Linked DNA regions of Drosophila melanogaster. The protein of the gene in region 1 interacts with the protein of each later gene in a pairwise test. Each region holds a gene or a part of one and is shown in the gene's direction. Other genes may lie near its edges.

The links.
Region 2: the proteins of CG9368 (region 1) and CG16721 interact in a two-hybrid assay, tested with the Drosophila melanogaster proteins (one large-scale study listed by BioGRID).
Region 3: the proteins of CG9368 (region 1) and TwdlM interact in a two-hybrid assay, tested with the Drosophila melanogaster proteins (one large-scale study listed by BioGRID).
Region 4: the proteins of CG9368 (region 1) and CG1307 interact in a two-hybrid assay, tested with the Drosophila melanogaster proteins (one large-scale study listed by BioGRID).

What each region holds. Positions count from the first base shown.
Region 1 is NT_037436.4:19,599,633-19,605,317, forward strand, and holds CG9368 (uncharacterized protein), read left to right. Parts: upstream 1-2,000; 5' UTR 2,001-2,140; coding exon 2,141-2,344; intron 2,345-2,409; coding exon 2,410-2,428; coding exon of another isoform or gene 2,429-2,469; exon of another isoform or gene 2,470-3,023; coding exon 3,024-3,349; 3' UTR 3,350-4,488; downstream 4,489-5,685. Other genes in the region: Taf6 (TBP-associated factor 6), read left to right, coding at 1-412, 475-644, 702-1,157, 1,278-1,587; lush, read right to left, coding at 5,043-5,131, 5,192-5,342, 5,398-5,619.
Region 2 is NC_004354.4:5,878,114-5,884,464, forward strand, and holds CG16721 (uncharacterized protein), read left to right. Parts: upstream 1-1,755; 5' UTR 1,756-1,995; intron 1,996-2,420; exon of another isoform or gene 2,421-2,556; intron 2,557-2,705; exon of another isoform or gene 2,706-2,720; 5' UTR 2,721-2,939; coding exon 2,940-3,208; intron 3,209-3,272; coding exon 3,273-3,757; intron 3,758-3,821; coding exon 3,822-4,122; intron 4,123-4,183; coding exon 4,184-4,350; intron 4,351-4,366; exon of another isoform or gene 4,367-4,413; coding exon 4,414-4,676; 3' UTR 4,677-5,278; downstream 5,279-6,351. Other genes in the region: Usp30 (ubiquitin specific protease 30), read right to left, coding at 1-1,209, 1,264-1,345.
Region 3 is NT_033777.3:26,617,048-26,621,250, forward strand, and holds TwdlM (TweedleM), read left to right. Parts: upstream 1-2,070; 5' UTR 2,071-2,119; coding exon 2,120-2,134; intron 2,135-2,211; coding exon 2,212-3,063; 3' UTR 3,064-3,177; downstream 3,178-4,203. Other genes in the region: TwdlP (TweedleP), read right to left, coding at 3,615-4,203.
Region 4 is NT_033777.3:6,654,833-6,659,310, reverse strand, and holds CG1307 (uncharacterized protein), read left to right. Parts: upstream 1-1,868; 5' UTR 1,869-1,974; coding exon 1,975-2,163; intron 2,164-2,417; coding exon 2,418-2,789; 3' UTR 2,790-3,281; downstream 3,282-4,478. Other genes in the region: twr (twisted bristles roughened eye), read right to left, coding at 19-69, 131-308, 884-1,143, 1,214-1,282; Taf1 (TBP-associated factor 1), read right to left, coding at 3,516-4,102, 4,230-4,322. UniProt on the Drosophila melanogaster protein: The natural substrate for this enzyme may be peptidyl-tRNAs which drop off the ribosome during protein synthesis.

The sequences.
Region 1 (5,685 bases):
GCTCTCGAAGGATTCCCAGTTACTGGACTCGGTCAATCCAGTTATTAAGATGGATCAAGGCCTAAACAAAGATGCGGCAGGCAAACCCACCACCGGCAAGATACACAAGCTGAAAAACGTGGAGACCATTCATGTCAAGCAACTGGCCACGCACGAGTTGTCCGTGGAGCAGCAGTTGTACTACAAGGAGATCACCGAGGCGTGCGTGGGATCTGATGAGCCGCGGCGCGGGGAAGCGCTGCAGTCGCTGGGATCCGATCCTGGCCTGCACGAAATGCTTCCCCGCATGTGCACCTTCATTGCCGAGGGAGTTAAGGTCAATGTGGTTCAGAACAACTTGGCGTTGCTTATTTACCTCATGCGCATGGTTCGTGCGCTTCTGGATAATCCTTCGCTGTTTCTGGAGAAATACGTAAGAAATTTCTTATTGTATTGTTCTTTGTTTCTCATAAAAACGATGTTGTCTCCGCATAGCTCCACGAACTGATACCCTCGGTGATGACGTGCATTGTGTCCAAACAGCTGTGTATGCGCCCCGAGCTGGACAATCACTGGGCCCTGCGAGACTTTGCCTCCCGACTGATGGCTCAAATCTGCAAGAACTTCAATACCCTAACCAACAATCTGCAAACCCGTGTCACCCGGTAAATCACATCCACTTAAATTAAATAACCTTTTAACATCCATTTCCCAACCTTCAGCATCTTCAGCAAGGCCCTGCAGAACGACAAGACCCACCTGTCCTCGCTTTACGGCTCTATTGCGGGTCTCTCGGAGCTGGGGGGCGAAGTCATAAAGGTTTTCATCATACCCCGCCTTAAGTTCATATCGGAGCGCATTGAACCTCACCTGCTCGGCACCTCCATCAGCAACACTGACAAGACAGCAGCAGGTCACATCCGCGCCATGCTTCAGAAGTGCTGTCCCCCGATTCTCAGGCAAATGCGCTCAGCGCCAGATACAGCGGAGGACTACAAGAACGACTTTGGCTTCCTGGGGCCGTCGCTGTGCCAGGCAGTAGTCAAAGTTCGAAATGCGCCCGCCTCAAGCATTGTAACCCTGTCATCCAACACTATCAACACGGCACCCATCACGAGTGCAGCACAAACAGCAACAACCATCGGACGAGTGTCCATGCCCACCACACAGAGACAGGGGTAAATAACACTTTTAAGCATAAAATAAAATTCCAGCCAAGCATTTGATTCCTAATGGAAACCATGTTGACATGTCTTTTTATGCCCATTACTAAGCGGTTAAATATTCTTTTGTTTTAGAAGTCCCGGAGTCTCGTCCCTGCCGCAAATAAGAGCCATTCAGGCCAACCAGCCGGCGCAAAAGTTTGTGATAGTCACCCAGAACTCGCCGCAGCAGGGCCAGGCGAAGGTGGTGCGGCGTGGCAGCTCTCCGCACAGCGTGGTCCTCTCCGCGGCCTCCAACGCTGCCAGTGCCTCCAATTCGAACTCAAGCTCGAGCGGCAGTCTACTAGCGGCTGCACAGCGGAGCAGCGATAATGTGTGTGTTATTGCCGGTAGCGAAGCGCCAGCAGTTGATGGTATAACAGTTCAATCTTTCAGAGCATCCTAGACGCCAACTCGCTGATCATTGAGACGGAGATTGTGCGCGCACCGCCCGAGCTGGACGATCTCTCGCACCTGGAGTAGCCAGCTTAGTTCGTAGTCCACATTTTGTCATATTGTATGCAATAAAATAAAAAATGCGGGTTCCTACCCCAAAAAAATGTAACCACACAAATAGGAAGAATATTAAATCATTATTTTCACACGTTTTGTGTAAAATGGATTTAGTTCTTCTTAGCAAGCAAAAAAAAAAACATTATTTAAGGATTTCCCATAGAAATATTAAGCTACAGTTCTGTAAATAACGAACTGTTGAAATCAACTGACTGCTCTCCCACCCCACAAATCGAAAGCTTGCCCACGCAGTCAGCACGCATGTGCGGGTATGGGCCCCCAAGTGGCTTGCTATTGATTTCTCCAGCGCATTGCTGGGTGAACGCACAAAGAGCTCTGCTCAGCACTCCTTGTAGATACCCATCGCAGGACAAAGGCAAAGCTCGAAACGCTTCTGGCAGCATTTTCAAAGGATAAAAAGGAATTCTCACAAAAACCCAGGAAAGATGCATGCCAGATTTGCGGATCCCGAGCCAGCGTCTCCGGACAGCGTTGATGGAATCGAAACGGAGTCACTGGAGGCGCGGATTGAGGCCTTCAAGCAAAATCCCCAGAACATGGCCGCGTTGCGGGAGGCGCTCGACGATGTGCTCCTGCGGGCTGAGACGGAGGCGAACAGGCGGGCAGTTGAGAGCCAGAAATCGCAACAGGTTGACCACACATATCTAATATTCGTTTTCGAGCTAACTGAACTAACTTGTAACTTCCCTTGCAGGGCAAGGAAAAACGACCGAGTAAGTATACGCAGTGTGGTTCAGTACATTTCACTTCTTAGCTATTTGGATAGTGTATTGCTTTTCCCTTTCGAGCACTTCAGCGCAAACCCTTGCCAAGTGCTGGCCGCTGAATAGACACTTGTGCACAAATCCTTTTCTTAGTCTTGCTTAAGTATTTTTGTATCGATGACTTTCGTGGCAATGAACTCGCTTGACACCTAAGAGTGCCTAGGCTAAAAGTTGGTGGATGAGGTCTAAATCTCAAATATTGCAAATATTTAGGAAAGTATAATCTTCGTGCTGAAATTAAGAGAACTGTCGCGTAATGTTGTAACTTGTTTGATAAAAGTGGGCTGACCTAACTAACTGATGACAGGGCGACCGTTGTGGGCCTCCTCCACGGTTGTTAACAGATGGCAATTAAAACTGAGGAAAGCATATAATTTAGAATATATAAACGCATTCGCACGCCATTTTCACCCATTTTCCAAAAAACCCAGCCAGCTCGATTGCATGACCATATTTTGTTGCACTTAACTTGTATTTTGCGTATCACTGATCTTTATTTCCGTATTTTTGTACTCTCTGCGCCTCGCATGCACTAACCTCTCAGGTTTCGCCATACCAGATTTTAAGAACGGCAAGGTGGTGAATCGCGCTCGAGGATTCGTGGTGCGGATCTTCGATGCCATATGCAATTGCGCCAACAACAATGCGGCGGCGGCCACGACGCGTTTCAAGCTGAGAAGCAACAGCGGCGGAGGGGGAGGCGGCGGAGGTGGTGGTGGCGGAGCCAGCGGAAATGGCAAGCGTCAGCAGTCGCAGAATGAGCCGGAAACCCTAGTCCTGACCAAGAAGAAGCCCGCCGGCGAAGGCAAGAAAAAGAAGGGAGTCAGCATGGCCGATGACGTTCAAGCCGGCGTTCGACTGATGGACTAAGCTAGCTATAATGGACAATGGTTGTCCATGCAATGGGAAAACATAATCAAAATTACCACCAACCCCTTCCTGAACAATGAACTCTTACTCAGCAATCGTCTACTGTCATCTTACCACCTTAATGGATCCTGTCCAGAAGCATTTTCTTCGCTCAAACGTCTTAGGCACAAACCAAATTCTACGTCTTCCCCTTGAAGACCACCAAGTTTATGGTGTAAGCCCTGCAAAGGAATCTTAAAATCGCATAGAACAGGGCTGATGGAAAAGCTTTAGCTCTCTACTATATTGTTTGATATACCCAAATGTGATCCCAGATCGTAATGTTAACGAAAACTCAACTCGAAGCACAAGCAACTCTTCTAGGCTAGTTATGAAAGGAGAAAACCCCTATATACGACATTTGTATACACTCTCCAGCTCTCAGACATTATTTGGTCCCCACGCACAACACAATCAACGGCATTACACAATCCCAGTGGAATCGACGAGGGTTTGCCCCGAATCTCCACCTAATTATAACTACGATATATCAAATTATATACCTAACTATATGTGTATGTGTATGACTATAGTTGTCTACGGAACCACCAACCTATTTAGATGTGTGTGTGTAGCAGTTAAAAGTATTTCCAAACCAAACCAAAGCAGCTAACAACAAACGGTTCAATATACAAGCATTAATGTGTACTGATTTTATATACAATGTACTAACTACTATATATACGTGTGAATGTCATTAGACTCTTAGTTGTTTACACAGGTTTCCTCGAACATCCTCATCAAATTCATCAACTAATCCGCACACACGCTCTAATCGGATATATTTTTGTGAGACCCTTTTTGGAGAGATCTACATACATATATAAAGACACTACTCCTATACCGAAACCGAAATTTAAGATATCGATTACTCTCGATTACAGAGAACTTTGTACGCAGATTTGCAAGGCAACCATTTTGTATAAGATTTGCATTTATTTTGTAACCTCTTGAATGCAAAGATCTCCCTAAGTTTGAATGCATTGCTAAGCCAATTGGATGTTTATCGATTACAAAATGTATAAGTATGCGTTATGCAAACATAAAACCGTTGTATTTAGTTAATAATATCAGCAATAAACTATAACATGTTTGAAATCAATGCGGCGTGTTTATATTTTGGGGTGCCATTTTAATCTACAAAAAGGTTTTCAAATATATGATTAAAGATTGTTTTCAAAAAAAAAGATTTGCTTATCGAATTCAGTCGATTGCGGGTATATACATAATCGAAAAATTAATTTAAACAAAATGTTCTTTGTTACTTTGACAATATATAATTTCAGTTTTGATTCAATCAGAATTGGACGACTTTGTCATATAGGCATACGAATAGTCGGAAAATAGAGTTTCGAATGAAATAATATAACACAAACTACAGTTTCGTCGTTTTTAATCATAAATTGATGTTATTCTGTATACATAAGTTGTCTTTAATATATAAATTTTGGTTTCAATTTAATCAACATCATATTACTGCAAGGGTATATAAGTATATACTTCGGCTTTTTGAAGCTAACTTCCTTTCTTGTCATAATTTATGTTTTACGAATTCCAATTCTATTTGATGATTTCAACATAGATAATAAAGCAATCATCCAAGGATTGGTCATTAAAGGATGAACCAGTATGAATTTAGTTTCCAGAAACATTTTTAAGGCCACATGAACTGCCCATCGGCGTTTTCAGAGAAGCACTTGGCCGTCTGGTAGACCCTCTCGCAAGATTCCTTAAATTGTTTATCTGCAAAGATATACCTTACATATATTTACAGCTATGAAAGGTAAGTGTGGGTGTAGTTACGCGTATCCCGACAAGCTTCAACGGATTTCCTGGACATCTCCATCATTTCCGGGGGAACCAGATGCGGAAGTTGGGCCAGCGCCTTGGGAGCGTTGAACTCCCCCTTTTTGTTCACAGTGCCCGCCATCAAAGACACACACTTTGTGTAGCACTAAAAGGATAAAGGATTCAAACACTGGTGCCTGCAAAATGAAAGCGGCATTCACCATAAGATCCTGCGATGGCGGAAAGTTGAAATCACCCACGCGAAGCCGATCGAGATCTTCTGTTTTGAGCTTAAACTTCGGCGCACAGCCACTGCGGATCATGTCTAGCGAGGTCAAGAACTGCTCCATCGTCATGGCAACTGCAGGATCGGGTAGCAGGAGTACCAGCACTTGCAGGACGATCGCGAAAACAGCGGAAGAGCGTCGTTTCCAATGCTTCATGGTGGCGGAAAGCTAAATACGTTGAGTAACCATGTCGTAGGAGAGTTTTATAGGTGATCATGGTGG
Region 2 (6,351 bases), on another chromosome or scaffold:
AGTCCTTCCGCTTGCACACCTGTCCAGTTGGCAGCCACACCGTCCGCGCCACATGGATGCACAGGCAGGCCGGTAGTTTAGCGAACGTAACCGATTTGGTGTGCGTGGTGGTCTCGTTGCAGGAGTCACACTTGACATCGCTCAGATCCTCCGATGTGATATACTCGCTAAGCAAGTGGCCCAAACTCAAGCCAGTTCTGCGTTGCGGCGGCAGATTTAGCGTTATGCTGTCGAACTTATCGTACCGAACGGCCGACTTGGAGCCGCAGCCATTGCACACGATCTGTGCGCCCATGGCGCCCTGAAACGGATGCGCCACTTGGCTGGGCATCATGTTGGACCAGATGGACACCCGACCTGGTCCGCGATGCAGGCGCTCTAGCGATCGACAGGAGCTGGACACCCGGCGATTCAGACCCTCATCCTGCTGCTGTTGGGATTGTGGAAGTCGCGGTCGCGACGAACGCTCGCCGCCCAACATAGGCGTAGCCAAGGAATCCGGATTGCTGACGAGCGGAAAGCCAAAGGGTGTCCCTGGCGAAACGGCATCCAGAAGCACGGATCCCAGGCGATCGTTTCCGTCGCGTTCGCAAACAGAGGCAGGCGAATCCGGTGTGTGGGCCTCGGAACGCACCAATCGCTGCAAACTGGTGCTCTCATCATACTCCATGTTTAAGAAATCAGTGAGCATGGCACTGGAGGGCCGGTTCGGTTGATCCCCGATCCTCTGGCTGGCTCCCAGTCCCGCTGCCATGGAGCTAAATGATCGAAAGCCCCCTACTGGCGTTGCTGTGCCTGCCAAGCTGCTGTTATCATCGTTATCCGTGGGCAGAGCATCCGACAGACAGCCGAGGGGCTGTGGTCGTATGGCCTCCTCCTCCAGGCAGGTCAATAGCACGTGGAACAGCTCGTGGGCGTCGTGCTCCTCCTGTGGAATCACCCAGCCCAGGGCATTCAGAGCCCGGAGAACGGCTCCCGGTGAATAGGGATCGCCGCGCAGAGTGGCATGGGTGCCATTGACCACTTCCAGAGTGTTTAACATCGACGTAATTAAGCTTTTTCGATCCGGCGAGGCGTTGTTGTACAATTGCAGCCAGGCAATGAACTGGGGACAGGCGGCCATCGCCTGTAGCAGGGTGTTTAGGAAGCAGGTCAGTCCAAAGTTGTGGAGACCGGCAATTTGGCCGCGTCGTTGACGCAAACGGGAACCTGCAAATGTTTCGCTGGAGTAGGGAACTACGCCATGGAAGATCTACTACTCACCCGAAGGACCCCAGAAAACGAAGGCTCCGACTACGGCGGCTACCGTCACTCCGGCGGCCATTAGAATCTTCTCGCTCTCCATGGCTTGAGATTTCCGATGGCTGGTTTTCCGGTGCAGATCACTGCGGTACCGGGAACTCCCAATCCCGCCGCCAAAATCGCACACAGACTAACTCTAGTTAGGAATTTAGACCGAAAAAATTTTTGTGTCTCTTGATGTGTTGCAAAGCGATTCAGTTGTTAACACCACAACGTGCGGCCATTACGCAACACTGGCGCGCAATTATCGTTAAATTTGCAGAGAAAATCAAGTATTTTAAAATTCAACCGAATCGTTGTACATGTGAATGTTTCTACTATAAGCATTAAACAAACATAAGTTTGACAGCTTAAATTTGTAAACGTAGAATATATTTCCCATACTATTGTATCGTCTATCGATAGCGACGATTTGATCAACTTTCGATAGGCACCTCGAACAGCTGTGTGGAAAGGGGATTGTAATAAAGGAAAACAAAGTAGGCACAACAACCAAAGTTTTCAATCGAAACGGAAACATTCGGATATCAGTCGTCGTTCTTAATAGTTCAGATTAGAATAAAAATCCTCCTGGAGGAGCATAATTGAGTGAAAATTAACTGCAAAATTTGTCTGTGATTGTGGAAAGTGAATCAGCTGTTTGGGAAAAGTAAAACGGAATACTCTGGAACCTTCTCGTCGTTTCTTCCTATTGTAAGTATTCGGATTGGCTTTCATCTTGTTTTAATGCAGCCACTTTGCATCGTCCTTGTGTCTATTTCCCAATTTTCCAATTTTCCCCAGCTGACTTGCTGCGCAATAGGAAAAGCAACAACAACGAAACATAAATACATACACACACATACACACACTCGCATGGACCTAATCGCTTCTGTTTTTGTTGCTACTTTATTGCGCCGTTTGTTTATGTCGTCTATTCGCTGCGTGGCCGTTGTGCAATTTGCTCCCATTTTCCACATTTAATTTTGGAATCTGTGCCACGCAGCTTGCCAAATTACATATTCTAGAAAATTTGAGAATTTTCGAAAGTGTTACATTTTATTTCCATTCAAATCTTTTGCGCCTTCTCTCCTTGTCGCACATTCATACATGCAAGCAGACGCGCACTTGTTTGCTCATTTGTGTGTGTGTGCGAGTCACGTTTAACGGGTTCCTTCCGTGTGTTTGTTTACAGTGGGTATTGGCTAATACCTATTTCGAAAATAACAATTGAAACACTATTTTTGGTTGAGAAATATGCGCACACAGCAACAGGTTATTGAAAATTGGTTATGTGTTGCAATTATAAACCTAAAAATATTTTCCTGCCAACTCTTCTATATGAAAATCGATACTAATATGAGAAACCGCATCAAGGAATATGGAAGAGTAACTTGTATCTTGCGATCACTGTATCTAAGACCCCCTTTCTTTCCCAGGCGAACTGACCCCGAGCGGAGCTTTAGCGACGACCTCGAACAAAGAACAAAGAAAGCCCGAGTGCAGTTGCCAATTGCCTTGTAATAATCACCAAGCCATATATACAACTGGCTCTAACCGGTGGTAACCAAATTCGCATTTGGTCGAAACCAGTTGCTGCAGCTGCCTAACGTCGCACTTCCGCCCGTGAGGAGACAACAAAGGACTGGAATTTGAATATGGATGCCCAGGAGAATAGGAGTGAACAGTCGGGACAATCGGGCGACCACGAAGAGCACGAGGAGCGCCGGATCCGTACGGACAGCGAGAGTTCCGTGGAAAGCATGACGCGTTTCGTGCTGCCCAGCTTGGATGGTACTCCGCCGAAAATTGTGACCCTGGACGAAGTGTCCAGCATGTTCAAGAATTTGCGCAACATGGAGCTGGCCCACGAGATAGCCCTCAATCCGGACTTCAAGCTGCAGAAGTACGAGCCGCCCTCGGATAGGTGAGCATGTGCCAGCAGCAGCCCTGTCAGGGAAACCATTCAATTAACATTCCCATGTCCACAGTTTGGAGGGCGCCATCAAGAAGATGGTGCACAAGGCCTTTTGGGATCTGCTGCGTGTGCAGCTGGACCGCCAGCCGCCATCGTATGATCAGGCCATCCGGCTGCTGGCTGAGATCAAGGAGTGCTTCCCGCAGCTGCTGTCGCCCAACAACGAACGTGCCCTGGCCCACATCAACGAGGTGCTGGATGACTCCGTCATCCGCCAGCAAGCGGAGCGGGGTACCCTGGACTTTCGAGCATATGCCAACTTTGTGATCAACATCCTGTCGCGATCCTGTTCGCCAGCTAGGGACGAAGCAGTGGCCGCTCTGCGCAAGATCGACGATGTGGTGGACACGTTTCGCTGCATTCTCGAGCTGATGACGCTGATGAAGCTGGATATGGCCAACTTTATGCTTCGACTGGCGCGCACCGAAATCGCTGCCAATTCGGTGCAGTATGAGAAGGAGAAGTTTAGCAAGTACTTGCGCGAGTTCCATGGAAATGGTGGGTTGTTGGCCAAAAAAAAAACTACAATGCCTTTATTTATTGGGAATGCCATTATTTCCAGTTGGTTTTCCGGCCACTGAGGATTGGCTGCAGCGTCACCGGTCCGGTAGCAGCGATGATGAGACCATTTACAATGCCTACATGCAGCTGATTGACTATCCGGCCGACAAGGAGTTCCCGGAGCTGTTGCGCATCGACAAAGAGCGCTTCGCCGGCCTAAGTTGGCGAGCCCAGCGCTTGATCCTGTGCGCCTCGCTCATCTCGGTGGCCCAGGGCATGCCTATCATATCGCAGCGCCGCGAGAACCGCATCAAGCTGGCCCAGCAGCTGGACATCATTGTGCAGGACATCAAGAACCAGGAGTGAGATACCTCGTGCTCTAGCCGAGCGCTGTTTTAACCCTTCTTCAACCTCAATTCACAGCCAAGTGGCCTCTACCATTGAGAGCTGCTACGAGCAGATTCGCTCCTTTGTGAACAAGGCCCTGGAGCAGGAGAACTTGCCTGCGCTGAGTGATGCCGACCAGGCGGCGCTCAAGAACCAGGTGCTTAAGCTGGCCAACAAGACGTCGCCGGTGCCCAGTTTGATGGGTGAGTTTACTCGTTTATGCAATACAATGTATTTTATATTCAATTCACGTAAATCGCTTGCAGCCAAACGATTGGATGGCTATGTGCGCGTAACACTGCGCTCCAATGGCAGCATTCCGCCGCCGCCCTCAGGATTCGCGGACTACCAAGAGGAGCTGGTTGCATTTATCGCCTCGTTCCGTCGTCTGGTGTCCTACAACCACGCCGTGTTCGGGGAGCACTTCCACCAGATACTCAACAAAACGCTGCCCGGTGAGGAAACGGAGGCTACCACTTCCACGGCCAGTGGCATAAATCCTGGCCAGGCTCAGACTGCCAAGCCTTAGGTGGATTTGTCTACCGTCTTAGGCAACACAAGATACCAGTATACAACACTCAGACACACCTGTAGGCGAACAACAGATCTGGCGGAGATCTGCATGATGTTAGGGCAACCGGAGTGGCGGATAGCATCTTCCGTGTGGAGGAGGAGGGATTCCGCATTCCGCAGCTGCTTTCCCATGTGACGTGACACTTGCGTAGAAAATTTGACGCACGCACCCGTAACCACCAAGTAGAAATGAGTACTCCAGATGCAAATCCCCCTGCAAAAAAGCCAGTGGGATCCGAGGCATCTGAAAGGAATCAAAAATGTGCTGGAGCGTCTGTGATAACAAGAATATTCAACACAAAATTCAAATTTTTGGGGGTTAAGAAAAGTGAACTCGTGAATTATGTGTGCTCCTCAATTTTCGTAATGTAAACCCCCTCTTTATAGTACATACATATATATATATATTATGATTATACACGTGTACCCTAACCCCGGACTAATCCTATATCTTAGACCTTTGTGACCGTAACTCCCATTGAATTTATTTTGATTGTTTCGATTGATTAGCAGTGTTTCGACTGAATCTTCACGAATATATCTATACCTAGTTTACCGAAATTCAAAGTAAATGAATTCAAGTGATTTCATCTTTTTGGTGCGGAAGGGAAAGGTACATCATCTAATTTGTGTGATGTGATTGGATTTTAATTTTGCGAATTAACGAGAAATTATTTAAAATATGCGACATCGCTATGAATTTGAATCTAAGAGGTTGCCAGATCGGGGTAAAATGTAGAAAGTCCGCCAGATGGCGGCACAGCATGAAATAGTTCGCTAGATGGCGTCTTGCTAACGGATTTCTATTTCGTACCAGATTCGAATTACATTTCCATTATTTAAGATTTAATTAATGATTTGGTTACCCACTGATTCCAATATAATAAATTCAGTGAAATAGGTTAAATTTTAAATATCTAACAACTGGCCTTGTCGACATTAAAGCCCATGACCTCGCCTCGCATTCATTTGCAATTTTAGTTTCGTTTTCGGTTTACATTTTCACCGATTTGCCTTCGCAATGGATTACAGTATAATTCGCTTAGCTGCATCGATAGTTAGCTGCATCGGCAAGATATCTGCATTATTTTTCCATTTTTTTGTGTGAATAGAAAATAGAAAATAGAAAAAAAAAAATTAAGTTAGCTGCATTTTTAAGTTACCTGCATCGAGGCATTGTGCAAAGTACTCGAGGCAGCTAAGCGAATTATACTGTATTTGGACTATCTATGCGCAGCAAGTGCAAAAAAGGGAATTTATGTATAAGGTATTTTACTTTGATCACAAAAATTGGAGATGGCATCGTTTCGAATTCGAGTCAACATTTTCGGGGCTAAGCCAAACGAAATCCCCATCAAAAGTGTAGCTATAATCATTACTACAGTATAATTCGCTTAGCTGCATCGATAGTTAGCTGCATCGGCAAGATATCTGCATTATTTTTCCATTTTTTTGTGTGAATAGAAAATAGAAAATAGAAAAAAAAAAATTAAGTTAGCTGCATTTTTAAGTTACCTGCATCGAGGCATTGTGCAAAGTACTCGAGGCAGCTAAGCGAATTATACTGTATATTAAACTCATTTCCGCATCTGCTTTTGGCGCTATATTATTTATAAAAAGTAATACTACCG
Region 3 (4,203 bases), on another chromosome or scaffold:
GCTCCAATTTATGGTGAGGCGACAGATTTGATTGGATTTTTGCACCTGAAAGGCACCGCCCGGTTTTGACACCAGCCAGGTGATAGCCGAATAAATTAAATGCACAATTTTATTCGTTTCGACATTCTGGTGGGTGCCAGTACAATGGCAATAAAATAATATAGGGGCAGTCTTGTTGTCTCGAAGAGAGAAAGACTAAAAATAATGGATAAAATAATAAACAGTGTCAGATTTTGTAAATAGATCGATTGACCCAAAAGGCCATTTACATAAAGTGGTGCCAGAAATTCCCTCCCGTAGATGTTTTTTGTCCGCTTGAGCCGTTTTTTTTTTATTTATTTATTGATACGCCAACGTCGTCCGACCGCTATTATCTTCGATTTCGTGCTGGAAACTCTTTTCCCGCGTTTTGACCACTTTTTATGTCGCTGCTGCGTGCATCTTTTATGTGCGTGTGGCGCCCGAGACCTTGAAATTGTGGCTGGGTTGTTTTATTATGCTTACATTTGATTAGTTTGCATATGACATTGCCACCAGCGACTAACTTGGCTGAGATGCTGGCCAATCGGCGAGCCGCAACAGTTGGCAGTGGGCAAAAGGTGGGGCCGCACACAAAGCCAAGACAAATTGTTTTTGACTTTAGGTTATTGCTTCGAATGTGAATCTTAATTGGATCCCGGCCAGCGTGGAATGGGGGGCATCATATAGCATCATTAGATATAGAACCATATAGAACTTGTGTGTGTCCGTCACTGAAAATGATATCATGGTTGTGATGTCTTAGCGGATTTCCTAACTGACCCCATCTTCGAGTTACTCATCGCTATAGTTATCCGTGATATCAATCAATATATATATTAGTCATAACCGCGATTGGCATTCGCCACTATTGATTTGCAAATCGGTTCGGCTATCTTAAATATGGATCTTGGGTATTTCTCCTAAATTATGCAAATCAAATCAGTTTTCAGCGGATTTGCTGCTGCCTCTACCCCCCTTCTGCTCGAAAACTTTGCCGAAATAAAATAAAAAACCATAATTTTTATGATATCAATAAACCATGATGAAAAACGTGATAATCGCTGATCAGATTAAATGGTCGCCTGGCGCCAGCTGATTACCGCCGAATTCCGAATAGCTTCGGGTGCTGGTCAACAGTAAAAAACCTCAAGGTCGCAACGGTTGTTAGCTTTATGGCTTCTATTTTGCGAAGCCGTGTTTTTGCCACAGGTTAAATGGCCAAGCGACGAGCTCCGGACAAATGGACAGATGGGCCGTCGGATAGATGGACGGATGAATGAATGGATGCGCAAAAAGGCTGGCGAAAATTGATTTCTATCCATTTCAGATCCATTGTTTTTCAACCCTACCACAGTCCACAGTCCAGTGTTCGGGTTTTATATGGCCAAACCCTAGAGCAGCCAGTTCCATACACCATACACCATACACCATACCATACCATATACCATATACAATATTCCAAATACCAAAGGGGGACGCAATAATCGCTGGGGATTCCCAGCTAGAAATATGCGGCTGGATCAACTAAAAAGTGTAGAAAAACCGAGTCGTTTTCGAACTCGTTTGGATGCTCCGCTAAATGTTTTAGCATACAAAATATGAAGAAAATCATTTCATTTACTGAAAGCATGACCATTTATAGTAGTGGCTTTTGCTAAACGAGTTTTCAGCCGTTTCCTCCGCCGAGAGCCTGCTCTATTGGATTACAACTTGACGGGTAGGGTCGTGTGCCTAAAAATTTTCGATGATGGTACTACGACTTGGACTGAGGGATCGTGGAATTAGCATAATGTCGACGCCAACATTTGCAAGAATAGGGCGGCCAGGTATCGATGCGCTTTGTTCACGTCGGCTTGGCCATTGTTTTATCGCACAAGCTTCGTTTTTCGAAGGTGGATAGCATTTCAAGAGACAAAAGCTGCCGAAGAAGTTACCAAAAAATGCTGCGGAGCCAACAAATACAACGATGGTAAAGTCTGCATGAACTTGAGCGCAGTTTAGTGACACCGATCGTTGGTTTTCGTATAAATATTGGACCTTTCGGTGATGCAAACGTCAGACACAACCAAGTGGTCAAAGTCAAAGAACTAAATTCAAAATGCGTGCCTTCATTGTAAGTATACGTTCGATCGCCGACGAAATACTCCAAAAGGATACCAAGGATTACAATGCTGTTTTCTTTATCTCCAGGTTATGTGCTTGGTGGCAGTCGCCTGCGCCGATAAGCTCGGCTACAACTACCAGCCCGTGGGACACTCCAGCTCCGGACTGTCCTTTGCTCCTGGAAGTGGCAGCATTGGAGGTGGCTCCATCGGAGGAGGCAGCATCGGAGGAGGCAGCATCGGAGGCGGCAGCATCGGAGGCGGCAGCATCGGAGGCGGCAGCATCGGAGGATCCATTGGTGGTGGTTCCATTGGAGCCAGCATCGGAAGCGGTGCCGGTCTGGGTGGTCTGAGCAGCATTGGTGGTGGAAGCATTGGCAGCATCGGAAGCATTGGTGGTGGTGACGCCCTCAGTGCCCCCGTCTCCTACAACGCCCCTGCCCCAACCGCCGAGCTGGAGAAGGAGTTCTTCACCTTCACCGCCAACGAGCAGGACTTCGATGAGCCCCAGCAGCTGGAGCGTGTGTCCTCTGCCCTGAACAAGGCCCTGCGCGTTGTCTTCATCAAGGGACCCGAGAACCGTGGCCTGGAGAACGCCGCCCTGGCCCTCGCCAAGCAGGCTGCCCAGCAGGAGACCGCCATCTATGTCCTGAACAAGCAGGCCGATATTGGAGATCTGGCCAACAAGCTGAACGCCATCCGCAGCAACAACAACAACAAGCCCGAGGTGCACTTCGTCAAGTACCGCACTCCCGAGGACGCTGCCAACGCCCAGCGCGCCATCCAGGGTCAGTACGACCAGCTGGGAGGATCCAGCCAGGCCCACAACGGTGGTGTTGCCCCCGTCCTGAACTTCGCTTCCGCCGCTCCAGTGCGTCAGGCCGCCGCCCAGAGCCCCGACAACTCCTACCTGCCATCTTCGGTCTTCCGTCGCGTCTAAGTCGCTCGTTTCACTCCTTTCGGAATCGAAAACGCCAGCGATTTTTGACTGATATTAAATCGTAGTTTTTGTTGACTAATGCTTAAATAAATTCAATTCTTAAATTTTAAAACCAATTTGACTTGTTGTAGTGCATTTGTAAAAACCAAAAAACTTTGCAGGCTGAGTTCATTGGGAACGAAACTTCGCAAGTTCGGATTTATTTGCAGCGAAATATTTTCTTGCAAACTTTGAAAGCGCACATAAGTAGAAGCACTTATATATTTCTTAGGAACTAGTTTATACTTTAACCATATTCAAAATTTAATACCAGTTTATGGCTGCTGAGATCTTGGGTTTTGAACAAGTATTTTTATTTCTTCTTTCTTCTTTCTTTCTGTTTTTATTCGATTATCGCTGCTATAAATAGGTATACAATTTATTTTGAAAACTGTTGCATACTTATGTTGCTTTCGTCAATTTTTAAAGGAATTAACCAAATGAAAATACAATAATTTACATAACCAAATTAGATAACTTTTATTCGAAAACAACGTTTAACAATCGATTTTCTAGTGACGCAGGCGACTCAGGATGTTGGCGGGTAGGTAGTTGCTCTGGGGCACCTGTTGAGGAGTAACGCGTGCTGGAGCAGCTCCCTGGGATGCAAAGTTGATGGCATTAGCCACGCCACCGTTGATGGACTGGCTGGAGCCGCCGAGTTGATCGTACTGCGATTGGATTGCCCGCTGGGCATTGGCAGCATCCTCAGGTGTCCTGTACTTGACGAAGTGCACCTCGGGCTTCTTGTTGGCATTCTGGCGCACGGCATTGAATTTCTGGGCCAGCTCGTTGATATCAGTCTGTTTGTGCAGCACATATATGGCAGTCTGCTGCTGGGCCGCCTGTTTAGCCAGGGCCAAAACGGCATTCTCGTAGCCACGGTTCTCCGGCGACTTGATGAAGATGACGCGAATGTTCTTCTTGACCGAGGCAAGAGCCCTCTGGAGAGCAGCCTTATCCTCGAAGTCGTCATCGTTGGCATAGAAGCTGTAGAACTCCTTGTGAACTGACGCCTGGGGAGCGGCACTATAGCTAACTGGTCCCGCCAGTGCAGGGACTGGGGATACACCACTGCCCCCAATACTGGTTGTCGCACCT
Region 4 (4,478 bases), on another chromosome or scaffold:
AAATAAGAGCGATCCCATCTACTCCCGATGCAGCAGCACGAAAATGGCCAAAATAGAGAGAATGGCCCACTGAAAAGTTGCAAATTCGGGCTTAGTGGCGAAAAAAAAACACAAACGTCCTTCAACTTACCTTAACCTTGGGATATTCGTTCATGAAGATCGTGATGATGCCCACGTAAGGCAGGAAGCCCCTGGCCCGGCCCACAATGTCCTTTTTGGTCAGCCACAGCTGGTTGGGTGCATACAGGCCCCGGTCGTCCACGTTGTTATTGTCGCCCTTGGTCAGGAACTTGACGGATCCGTCCTCTCTGCAGAAAAGATTGATTGGGATTATATGGGACCAAACCAAACCAAAAGGAAATCATACAGAATACAATAAAAAGGAATCTTGGCCCGTGACTAAATATAAAACAACAATGTTTTAAGACAACGAAACACAAGCTTAACTTAATGACGTGTCCTAAAACTACAAATTGTATCTAAAATAAAAAATGATCTATTCCATACGGCATGTGAGCTATTTTCAATCCCTTTTAGAAAATATGTAATTCCTTTTTGCCTTCACTGCTGTAGGAAAACTTTTACTAGCCACTGTGTTCCATGCACCTTCTCATAAACGAGCTTAAGGGAGGTCCACAAATTTACATAACATTTCATGTGCACAAGGATTTCAAATAGTTAAAAAAATAGCATTACACAAAAGTGGCACTAATTTAGTTCCTTCCCCTGGCGATTAGAAACTATGATGCTCATTCCACCTAACCGATCAGAGATGTTAAAATGCCTACTTGAACAGCAAGCACCCAGTACGACATCATGCCCCATTCATCTTAAAGACGCTTTCTGGGATTGGTTTCCATATCCGTAGCCCCAGGAAACTCACTTTTCGTGCAGCTTGATGACGCGGTGTACAATGGGTATGTCCCTGCCCTCCACCTTGAAGACGACGATCTCGCCGACGCGCACCGGCTCCTCCTTGTAGTTAGTGAGGAAGAGGAGGTCGCCGCGGTGGAAAGCCGGCTCCATGCTGCCACTGAGCACGACAACGATCGGCGACTCGCTGCCGGTGACCACCATCAGGCCCTTCCAGATCATCAGCGCCGAGGAGACGATCATGGCGAAGCTCAGCACCTGGTACAGCGACTGCGGGAGGGAAAGGGCACGAATCAGGATGATATATGGGTGCATTGCCCGGAGAAGCGGCGCTGCTCACCTGACGCTTGTTCATTCTGTTGAAGTCGCCCAGCATCTCGTCAATCTGCAACATGCTGGCTACGCCCATGGCTGCGGCTGTTATTGCGGTGCTTGTGGAGGAAATAGCCTTTTTAAATGCAATTGAAAAGGTCCTTAACAAAACTTCTCGGCTTCGTCCACGAAGACAGAAAATTTCCGACACGTATGTTTAGGCCGAGTTGCCAGACGGTGTGTGACGGGTGCGTGATGATCTTTGTGCAACTATTGTTCGGTCACACTATTGTTTCCCAAAAACTCCCGCCTTTTGTGACTTTTTTTTTTTTTGGGTATAAACATTATTTAATTCCCGGCGTTGGTTCAAGTTAGTCTTTTATTCTGGTCTTCGTGTTTACCTTATAAATGTTTCAGAAGTTCTAAGATTAAAGGTCACTCTGTACTATAAATCACCATTTTTATTCCTATAACTTACCAATTGCGCACATTAGAGGCATCTTAACCTTTATTAATACATAGTAATATTATATAATATATATCGTAGTGGCAAAAATTCGAATTAATAGCGTTCGTAATAGTTCTTAAATATATTCCTGAGTTAACGGTAAAAATTAAAGAGTATCCCATACGCTACAGTGCTGCCACACCAAGCAATCGATAAGCGAGCTGCCACCACAATTTGACAGTAACGTTTTCCGCAATTGGTGTGACCGCAAGCGAAAACGTGAAGTGAGCGCCATCGGTGGTGTTTTCTCGCGAAATATAATATCAACTAAGCGGAGAAAGATGGGCGACAAGTTGCTGGATCCGACGCAGATCATCAATGGGCTGGCTGTGATGCTGTCCTTTTTCGTGGGCTACCGATACGCCCTGAAGCGAGGCGATGCCAAGGACTCCGTCACCGAGGGAGCGGCGACCCCGTTCTCGCAGGAATCTTCGGTGTCTAGCGGTTCCGAGGCTTCAGTTTCGGATAAGGTGAGAAGGAAAGCCCTCGGTAGGCATTCAATGGCCCCAATCCACCTAGTACTCTGAACTTGTTGTAGACCCAAATGCATCATTGAACGCATACACTTGGGGTCACAATAATAGCAGTGCCATTTTTTGTTGTACGGTAGAAGTTTTCAAAAGTCCTACTTTACATAGTTTAAAGTATGATTTTTTAACATAAGTATATAGCACATACACATTATAATAATATAATACCAACGCTAATTTTCTAAACATTGCAGGGCTATGGAGGCTTGAACGACAACTTTAAGATGGTCCTGGTGGTGCGCAACGATCTCAAGATGGGCAAGGGCAAAATTGCCGCCCAGTGTGGCCACGGAGCGGTGGGTGCTTACCAGCGGGCGGTGGTCAGGACGCCTCGACTACTGCGGTCGTGGGAGAACTGCGGTTGCGCCAAGATAGCCGTTCGCGTGGAGAGCGAGGCGGAGCTGATGGCCATCAAGAAGGAGGCCGAGAGACAGCAACTGAACACGTGTCTCATCCGCGACGCCGGTCGCACACAAATAGAGGCCAACTCCAAGACTGTGCTGGCCGTGGGTCCAGCGGCTGCCGCCGACATCGACCGGGTTACCGGCCACCTGAAATTGCTGTAAGATCCGCACTTCGGAAACTCTCACAGGCCATTGGCATTACTAATTCACTCAAGTGCAACCCGACAATTCACAAAGCAATACGGCGCACCGGTGGAGCGGTTGAAAGATTAAGGCCACCGGGTGGAGGACGACTGTGACATGCAAGCTAAGCTAAGATTTACGTTATTACATTAACTGTGAACCGAGCTATTAAACATTAAACGATTGACAGTCCGGCCTGGAACTGCAAAGCTCCGAAGCGTTTTTGTAGGGGTTCAAGTGGTAAAATCCTAGCTCAAGTAATTAAGTCCCTGTAGAGTATTTCCTTTTTCCAAAACTATTGTGTTTTGGTAAATCCTTTACTAACATATATTTGAAAAATGAAATGTGTCTACTCATTAAGATTATATCTAGCTTCCCACAGTATTTGGTCTATTTCTTTTCAGAAAATATCAGGGTCTTTTGAAAAGTAATGGTGACACTTGTTTGTTTCTAGGCATTATTTAAAGTTATGAAAATTATATTTTAAAAACATATTTTGAATTAGATTTCATAAATTGTAAAGTGTATAATTAAAAACATATTGGCATGAAAAGGAAATATTTTTTCAGAGAACATATTGTAGTATTTCAAAATCCGTTAAAACAATGCATTGTAAAAAGTGTATAAAATTGTTTCACAGCGAAGCTCAATCCTATTATTAAATCGACGTTTTATTTTCTAACAACTAACAATTATTCCCTATCACTAAAAAGTCCAGGCATAATCATTGTCTCCCTGCGGCGTCTGTTGCTGCTGCAGTTGCTCTGATTGCATTGGTGGCATCACTTGGTGCTGCAACTGCTCCATTTCCTGCACTTGTTGGAAGTCCAGTTGCGGTGGTTGCTGGTAGTCGAGAGTCGTGGGCTCGTTGGACGAATCCACCATGTATATCTGCGACTGCGATGCTGCCTGTCCCATCTGCTGGTGCTGCAAGGCGTAATCCCCGTCGTCGAAGACCTCCTTTTTGATACGCACTCGAGAACCATCGTCTTCCTCGTCACTCTCCGAAATATCCAGATCATCATCGATGCCCATTCCGTTGTTCATGGTATTGACAGGCATTTCCGGCGCCATTTGCATGGCCATTGAAGCGTCCATTCCTAAGTCTGCACCGGAAGCGGCACTTGTGCTGGCTTCGGCGGGATTGTAAGGCCCATTATCATCCTGCTCGTGCGATAGGAAGTTGGTGAAAGCACCCTGCAAGCTGCTGGGCTCGCCGAGGCTCTGGCGCTGCTTGTGCATGGCGAGGAAATCTGAGGGATCGTAGTTGGGGTCCACATCCATGGATTCATCTGAAATGTTTTTGAAAACACGCATTAGAAAGAGCGTACTCAAAGTCCTAATCATATATGGGATTAAAGGTGTGGGGACATGGACATCGAGGGCACAACACAAACACGAAGTAAGGATAATAAAGACCTTGCTGCTGTTGAGCATAGTAGCCGCCCACGCCACTCAACTGCACCATTGCTTCGGCCACCTGCTGGCTGTCATCCTCGCCGATCGGCTCCTCTGCTTAGGTGATTTGGGTAAAATCAGAAACAGAAAAAATCCAAACAGTCAGCGAATTAAAGTGTTTTCTAGATTAGTATTAATCCTCAAAGCGCGTGCCAAGAACCGTATTAAACATAAAGAAGTGACAATTTTTAATGGAATTTAATTGTGAAT